3 linked regions of the Kluyveromyces lactis genome follow. The protein of the gene in region 2 interacts with the protein of the main gene of each other region in a pairwise test. Links are inferred from orthologs where the notes say so. Each region holds a gene or a part of one and is shown on either strand. Other genes may lie near its edges.

Region 1 (2,940 bases), on a different chromosome or scaffold from region 2:
AGTTTGTCAACAGATGCACAGATGGACCGTATTATGGTATCGTAACCCGTATGGGGTTATATCCTTTAATTCACTGCTACCAGACATGATTTTCTAGAACGTATGGTTGTTATTGATATATATAAGTTATATATAGTATGTGATAATAATAATAATATATCTACAAATTAAATGTACAAAATAAGGTTAAGAGTGTTCGAGTATTAATACCGTTATTGTGAAAATGGGTTCTTTTGTATTGTCAAGTTGATGAACAAGGTTTTGAAATCTTCTTCTATTCTTTTCCCGTCAGTTAGTCGATCTCCTTTGAACAGGCGAAGGACCTGGACTGTAAGTAAAAGAAACACACAGAGTGACAAAATACAAGTGAAGACGAAGTGGAGACTTTTCTAGTTTGTAGAACTTTATCACGAATCAATGAGATGCAAAATTTCAAATAATATTATAGTGTTAATGATTGTATTGGAATGAAGGTTTTTAAAACTAAAAAGTAAGCAAAAAAAGATTAGAAGCCAAAAAAAAAAGATTAATAGAAGGAATCATGAACCAAGTAGGCATACTCTAGCATTGGTTTCAAAATATCAATATTTCTTTAGCAGCTCTTATAATCCACTTCTCATGTATTTACCGATAACGATACAATGGTCTCTTTCATAAGGTTCCAAAGTCAATTGTTCCAAAGGCTTAATCTTTTCTTCTCTCAATTTTTGAACTTCTCTAGCGAACACAGTTTCAGCATCAACAGTAGAATCGATACAGTTAGCCTTGATAGAGATAACGACACCACCTTGATCCTTCAAGAACATATGAGAGTTCAAAGCAATAATACGGGCTTGATCAGGTTGAGCAACATCTGCGAAGACGGCGTCAACCATACCGATAAGCATTCTGTATTTTTGTGGATGTCTAGCATCTTCAATAATTGGGATAACATTTGGTCTCTTCTTAGCCATAGAGATCAATTCTCTACCTGGTCTGTGAGAGAACTCAACAGCGTAAACCAACCCTTCTGGACCAACGACATCGGAAACGTGGGACACAGATGTACCGGAAGCAGCACCTAGATATAGAACCTTCTTACCTGGAGCAATGAATAGTTCATCCAAACCACCCATGATACCGGCAGCCAATTTGGATCTGAAAGGATTCCAAACACGGTATTCCACCTTAGTTGGTGGGACACCTTCTTCAGTGGAAGGTTCTTCAACTGAAACTCTCTTTTCACCGTACACAGATTCACCTGGAGCGATGTTCTTTGTGACCAAAAGATCTTCTTTACCTCTGGCAATAAAAACACCAGCATGCTTATGAGGTTCGATAACAACCTTAGCACCACCACGGGCACCACCACGAGCACCACCACGAGCACCACCACGAGGACCACCTCTGGAACCACCACGGGCACCACCAAATCCACCTCTGGAACCACCGCGAGCGCCACCACGAGGACCACCACGACCACCACCGAATCCACCTCTGGAACCACCACGGGAACCACCGAATCCACCACGGCCACCGCCAAATCCACCTCTGGAACCACCTCTGGAACCACCGCCGAATCCACCACGGGAACCGCCTCTGCCACCTCTAGAACCTGCTTGGAATGCCATTATTATTCTTAACTAGTTGGGAATTATCTGTCTTGAGATATAATGATTATGCTGCTGTTGCTGCTCTTGATCTTCTTCTCTCTAAATTGGACAAAGGAAAAAAAAAGAATTAAAATTGTGAATCAGTAACAGGTATTGTCGTTGACTTTGAAACAGAATCCTGGACGGCTGTAAAACTCTTCTAAAATGGGTAGATTATAGGAACAGAAAACGTACACAATACTATTCTATAAACAATTGATTACTTCTTTCAAGCAAGAACAACTTAATAAACTCTTACTTTACATTCGATGAGATGAGCTTTCGAAACTTTTTTTTTTCAGCTGAAAAATTTTGAATGAAAAAACAATATTAAATTTCTTTTTCAAAGTTCTCATCTTTGGTCTTTCTGTGCCTCTTGGTACGTACAGAACGATGAACGTTAAAGTCACATGACTATTGTCACATCTGTATCACGTGATATGAATTGATTATATAATCATATGAATCTACAACTTTTCAAGATTTTTTTTTGCTATGTTGAGCCAGATACTTGCTACAATGCGTACGTTTACTAAGGATTTCTATACAAGTTTTTCATAGTCAACATTGCGAAAATATGCAGATGAGATCATTTTTGGTTGTTGTTGTGAATATCGGTATCTTTATAAAAGCAGATAAAAAATCAGAGAAGTGGAACCAGCTTTGACTTTTGTACGTTATAGCAATCAGAATCTGAATTAGTATATCTGGATAAATTTTCTGGTTTAGTTTTGAGATCCTATTTTCCAAACTATCGCTGTATATTTTAATCCGACAGTTGAAGATATTACCTAGATAAGTGTCCCTTTATGTCTGCATCCAGTTCAATTTTTATTAAATCACGCTCAAAGAGCTTAAAAGACGTCAAGTTGGAAGTTCCAACAGAAAATACGTTGACATATCAATCTGTTTTGCAACAGATTTCGAAAAGCAATCACAATATTAGCGTTAACAGGTTAAGGTTAAGCTATCTGAAAGAAGGTAAGCAAGTCGCCATTGGGCCCTCTGAATTGAACGATGTTGGTAAGAAAAACACGTTCGATTCAGTTAACGAGTGGTATGTTAAGGATTTGGGTCCGCAGATCTCTTGGAGACTGGTGTTTTTCATCGAATATTTGGGTCCGATCTTGATCCATTCTTTAGTTTACCTTTTGTCTTTAAACGCAACAGTTAGGGACAAATTTCATTCTAAAAATGTTCCATATAACGATTTCTTCAATAAGTTCATCTACCGTCTGATTATGGTCCATTATCTAAAGAGAGAATTCGAAACATTGTTCATTCATTCTTTCTCCCTGGAAACCATGCC
Region 2 (2,364 bases):
GAGCCAATTAGTAATTACATAACCACAACAGGTAGCATAGTGAACAGATGGTCCCTCTTTACCAACACTTAAATCAGAAGAAATGGCAAGCGGTAAAGCGACAGATTTTACTATAAGGGTCTTCAAATTCAAAAACTCCGGGGTATATTGGAAACCTGATACCCAGGATTTAATTTCTGAAATACCAGATCCAGTGGCAAACGGTGCAATGTGTAGGACCATCAGACAACTAATAGTTGCAAATGTGACCGATAAGAACATGAATAGCAAAAATGAAAAGATTGGATTGGTTGCTTCTACCCAAATACCTTTTTCGATACATTCGCTTTGGGATCTTTTAAAGAATATTTCTGCGGCATTGCCAGCCGAACTTATTATGGAACCATAACTCCTTTTACTGATCTCTTCTTTAGGACAGCAGAATGCCTTGTTTAACAACCAATTTCTAGCACAATGTCCAGATTTCCAGTTTACTAACAATTCAGTGAATATTTGTAAAAAACCAGCAATACCGCCAATGGAAAGCCCAATGGCAGTCAAAGTAATGAAACTGCTACCTCTTTTCCATATTAACCTGCGGTACTCATACCAACTCGAACGCGGTATATCAAATTCGTCATGCGATGTTCCCTTGGACAATTCACGCTTCTCTTCCTCAATCCAATCCACAGAAGTGAACTTATCGAAATTACCGACTTCTGGTATATTTCGCAGAGCCTGCTCCTCATTTACCTCTTGGTCAGTCATAGCTAGCTATTGCTCATCAATTGGGTCATACCTAAGTCAAGGGCAATACTATGAGTTTATTCATAAATGAGTTGATAAATTTACATATTGTAATACGTACATTTTTCAATACAAAGAAATATGCACCTTTGAAATTAGGTAAAGAACTGAGAGTGAAAGCAGCTCTTCCTGGGGAAGTATGAAGCATACGATGGGGAACAACAACTACAGACTGCGTGTTTTAGACCATAATAGAGTACTATAGCAATGGCGGAGAATGGCCAAATGATCACAATAGGAGGAATGTATATCGTTCTTCTGAATTAATATAGTGAAACAGCCGTACATTACACCAGTTTGTGATCCCATTTGTTTCTTTTTGCTCATCAGTCGAGGAATTCGAAAATTTTCAAAAATTGAAAAACTAAAGAAAATGATTTCAAGAGACTAACCTCATCTCATCTCGTTCCATCTCATCTCACTTTATGATAAAACTTTTTTTAGACTTGGACTTGATCCGATCTTATTTCTAGTCTTAAAACACCAGATTCAAGCGAGCTTTTCATTCTTGCAAGGAACTTGAACTGACCCAATCGGATACTTCACTTCATATTATAAAGAAATAATGTCTGCTCCAAACCCAAAGGCTTTCCCATTGGCTGATGCCACCTTGTCCCAACAAATCTTGGATGTTGTTCAACAAGCTTCCAACATGAGACAATTGAAGAAGGGTGCTAACGAAGCTACCAAGACTTTGAACCGTGGTATTTCCGAATTCATTATCATGGCTGCTGACTGTGAACCTATTGAAATCTTGTTGCACTTGCCATTGTTGTGTGAAGATAAGAACGTTCCATACGTCTTTGTTCCATCCAGAACTGCTTTGGGTAGAGCTTGTGGTGTTTCCAGACCAGTTATTGCTGCTTCTATTACCACTAACGATGCTTCTGCTATCAAAAGCCAAATCTATGCCGTTAAGGACAAGATTGAAACTTTGTTGATTTAAGAAGGATTTGCACATTTCGTGATTTCCTTTTCTTATTCTTTATATCAATCGTTTAAGGAGTTAACCGCTTTGTGGGGGGTTTGCATAGCAAAGAAAAGATTTACTGCACGTTCATTGATTCAAGTGATCGACAGGTAGATTTTTTTTTTACGACCTCTGTATATTAAACATATATATTACAATTAATACAACTTTTTGATACATTTGCATCCTTCTTAACAATGACATCAACATCTGATGGTTCTAGTTAGTGGTCAGTACATAGTTTTTTTTTGTCTGTTCAAATTAAGAAATGGTTACAGGCCTGTGTATTCCAGATGATATTGTCAGTTGGTAAAAAAAAGTAATAAATTTGACACAATCTTTTGTGCTTTCGACTATCCAACCCTAAATTTACAAGTTTGTTGAAATGAACTTAGAGGAAGAAGTCTGACTGTCCATCAGTAGCTGCTCGAATATGTTCAAGTTTAACCCATTACACATTGTTGGTAGGGAAAAGATAAAAATCCGCTATCAAAGTTCGGATAGGTTGGATTGTGAAGACCCGCCAAAATTTAGGGAAACTCGATGTAGATGTTGCGGAACCTTGTTACGACATCCTATAGACGCAGTTAAGTTCAAATGTACAATAT
Region 3 (3,531 bases), on a different chromosome or scaffold from region 2:
AGGGTCCAATTGGTTTTGAGAAATATAATTTCCCTACCGTTGATGCTTTAGTAGATGAAATGTCGAAATTACTTTGCTCGTACCCGTCACAGACAGAGTACTATGTATCGGAATGCTTAAAGCTTTGGAAACTTGACGAATGTACCACAACTCAAGGCGGGTTATATATTTAACGTGTCTTTAATCAAATATTGGGATTACACCCGTTCTGTTTTTTAGTGACGATAATTGTCTAGTATTCTAATTAAAATATGATTTGGGTGATATACAGATGTAATATGTAACAATGGTTAAATGATGAGTTGCATGTTTGTAGACACGAGGTTTTCCTTATTGTCTTAGGATACAAGTAGGAGCGTTAAAGGTGCAATTAAGAGCTTTATAATTATGAGAAACCGGAATGACTTAATAATGTAAAAGTGAAAAGTTAAATGTAAAGTGACGAGTTTAAACTGAAATATGATGAAAAAAAATAATAATAAAGTCGATCAATCTTCGGAAAATGATTGAAAAGTTGACACAACCTAATCCTTATTTTTCTTACTCTTCTTTTCCTTCTTATCCTTCTTCTCTTTCTTCTCTTTCTTTTCCTTCTTTTCCTTCTTTTCCTTCTTGTCCTTCTTGTCCTTCTTGTCCTTCTTAGACTTCTTTTCCTTCTTCTCTTCTTGTTCAGAGTCTTCTTCATCGTTAGATTCTTCTAGCTTTCTCTTCTTGGAGACTTCAGTCGTATCCACTTCTTCTTCGTGAGCTGGCTTATCTTTATTGTACAATTCGATGGCTTCCTTGATAGCAGATTCATTCTTCAAAGTTGGGGTACCAGAAGCATAGAATTCCAATCTTTGTTCAACTTGTTTCTTTAGCACTTGACCGAAAACGTTAGATGGTTCATCGGAGTAATTATCGATTCTAGAAGCCATAGAACATTTGTTAGCCAAATATCTAGAGATTCTACCCTTGTTCTTAGCACTAGCTTTAGCGATGAAACCACTGTGGTAAATCAAACCATACTTTGGTGTGTTACCTTTAGTCTTCAAAGCTCTGAACAATGCCTTTTCAGCACCCAAGATTTGGACAGTAGAGGCAGCTTGCTTAGAAAGATTGGTCAAAGAACCAGAATGAGAGATCAATCTAGCACCGATAACTTCACCGATCAATTCGGACAAGTTTGGAGCCACAGTGTGCATCTTCTCACATAGGTAATCGTATAATTGTTTCCTGTATTCAACAAGGGAGACAACTCTCTTAGCGAAGATGGTAACGTTTTCCATATCAGTTTCAGAAAGATCTTGACCCATAGAGATACGAGCGTTATCGATCACTCTTTCACTGATACCAGCATCGTTATCCAAAATTTCCGATAAATCGTGCAAGGATTCTTCGTTCAAAGATGCCTTATCCTTAATGAATAGAACGAGTTTAGCAAACTTGTAATTGTCTGGGACTAACTTTGCCAACTCTGGGAAATGCCAACCGTACCATTCCTTCACTCTCATGGCAAAAGTGTTGATATCCTTATCCAATTGATCCAAGAGAGCAATGGCTTGAATGATATGGTTATCGTTTTTCTGAACAGAGAACTTAACCTTAGCACGAGAGTAAGCATGACCCAAACCAAGTTGAGCTCTTTCCAAATCACCAGGTTGTAAATCTTTCAATAATTTGTCACCGTGTAATCTAACACCACGAATCAAATCCTGAGCTAACTCATTAGAAATACAATCAACAAATGGAAAAACTTCTTTAATGGATGGACCTAAGTTCTTATCAGAAATAGCCAAAGTAACAGTCTTCTTAGAAGAACCCTTTGGTAAATTTAAATCCAACAAAGCTTTCAAATGTTCAGAGACTAAACCTTCAGAAATATCATTAGCATTTTCCAAAGCTTGAGCAGCACCTTTGAAAGGAGCAAAAGAAACCAACTCAACTAACTTAGTGAAAGAGCCGAAATCATTGATCTGTTGCTGGACTTCCTTCAAACGAGATCCGATATCATCCTGTTGCAATTTCACTTTGAAGATACCATACCCGGTAGGTTCTTCGAACAAAAGATATTCAATAGGAGCCATTATTTAATTCTCTGATCAATAAAGTTTCCTCGCTACCGTAAAATCTCTTTGATCTGGACTCTTCAACACACACTAACTTCGGAATGAATGAACAAAACTCAAGATAATACAGACAAGTATTAATTGAAATATCGCTGTGCACATAACACAATATACAATATATTCACTGGTCAGAAAGCTCATCTCTCTTTATTGGCTTCGAAATGAAAATTTTCCAAACAAAAAAAAAAGAGCGATGAGCTTGAAAAAGAAAAGCAGAATGGGAAATATATTTTACTTACCCGGCCGCGGCCGGGTAAGTTATACACGTGATCGAATGTATTACCCGGATATAGAATAATTGACAAAATCACGTGACCTGGAATTTTCTTGTCTTTCCAAAAACAAAACAACGAAAGGAAACTCGAAATTGTATTCAATGAATTCAATTGACACTTGACTATCACTACTTTCAGAATGAATATAATTCCCTTGTTTTAGGTTTTATTTAGGCGTGATTTCTCTCCCCTGATATCAAGGGTCAAACGGTAACTTTATTGGTACATACGGATGGACGATCAGTTTTTGTTCCCGGACGAGAGTGATCCAATGAATTCTGGCGATGGCCAGCTTTTCGGTCAAGGAGGTTCGAACGGTGATGAGTACCTTTCCTTCCTTGATAACTCAGGCGCACCCAACCAGCAAGGTATACCTGATAGTAATTTAGGGCCGATGGAAGATGTTAACGCAGGCGTAACGCCCCAGGCTATATTGGCTAGAAATTCATTCTCAACTGTCAATTCACCTCCGTCGATGAAGAACGGTGGAGTCTCTATCTCTCCACAATCCATGTTTTCTCCAGCCGCAGGACCAATTCCTATGAATACAGCCAATGTAGCACCGACGCAGTCTCCCGCCGGCACTACTTCTTTACAGCAGATGTTATCGCAGCGTGGAACGCCGCAAAATGTGCCAAGTGGATCCCCTACAATGGCCGATGAGTCTTTAGCTCAGGCGAGTGCTAGTAGACAGAGCCCTCAGTATATGGATAGAGCCGCAATAATTGCTGCGCATCAACAGAGGCAACAGCAACAGCAACAAAAGCTACAGATGTTGCAACAACAGCAGGCATTCAACCAATTACAGCAGCAGAAACTAAGACAACAGCAGCAACAAGCACAGGCTCAAGCGCAGGCACAGGCTCAAGCACAAGCTCAAGCTCAAGCCCAAGCACAAGCACAAGCACAGGCTCAAGCTCAAGCCCAAGCTCAAGCGCACATACAAGCACAAGCGCAAGCACAGGCGAGAATGCAACAACATGCGCCTCAAGTACAGAATCAGTCTAATAACCAAAGAAACGTTCTACAAAATCTAGATCCAGCCATTCAACGGAAAGTCGGTCAGGAATTAAACACCAAACAGTTTGAACTATTTAGAAAATCATTTTTGGAACATTGCAGGAGAAAGAATCAACCCGCAGATATTG

What was found.
Region 1: the proteins of SNU13 (region 2) and NOP1 interact in binary tests that used the Saccharomyces cerevisiae proteins (3 or more experiments, as listed by UniProt). The link is inferred for Kluyveromyces lactis from reciprocal best matches to the Saccharomyces cerevisiae genes SNU13 and NOP1.
Region 3: the proteins of SNU13 (region 2) and NOP56 interact in binary tests that used the Saccharomyces cerevisiae proteins (3 or more experiments, as listed by UniProt). The link is inferred for Kluyveromyces lactis from reciprocal best matches to the Saccharomyces cerevisiae genes SNU13 and NOP56.

The regions. Positions count from the first base shown.
Region 1 is NC_006039.1:400,091-403,030, reverse strand, and holds NOP1 (rRNA methyltransferase NOP1), read right to left. Parts: upstream 1,611-2,940; coding exon 603-1,610; downstream 1-602. Other genes in the region: trans-2-enoyl-CoA reductase (NADPH) TSC13, read left to right, coding at 2,441-2,940.
Region 2 is NC_006041.1:2,008,811-2,011,174, forward strand, and holds SNU13 (RNA binding protein SNU13), read left to right. Parts: upstream 1-1,351; coding exon 1,352-1,732; downstream 1,733-2,364. Other genes in the region: GEF1 (Gef1p), read right to left, coding at 1-747; putative E3 ubiquitin-protein ligase HUL4, read left to right, coding at 2,190-2,364. UniProt on the Saccharomyces cerevisiae protein: Common component of the spliceosome and rRNA processing machinery. In association with the spliceosomal U4/U6.U5 tri-snRNP particle, required for splicing of pre-mRNA.
Region 3 is NC_006040.1:1,043,612-1,047,142, reverse strand, and holds NOP56 (snoRNP complex protein NOP56), read right to left. Parts: upstream 2,067-3,531; coding exon 525-2,066; downstream 1-524. Other genes in the region: PBA1 (Pba1p), read left to right, coding at 1-173; SWI1 (Swi1p), read left to right, coding at 2,616-3,531. UniProt on the Saccharomyces cerevisiae protein: Required for 60S ribosomal subunit synthesis.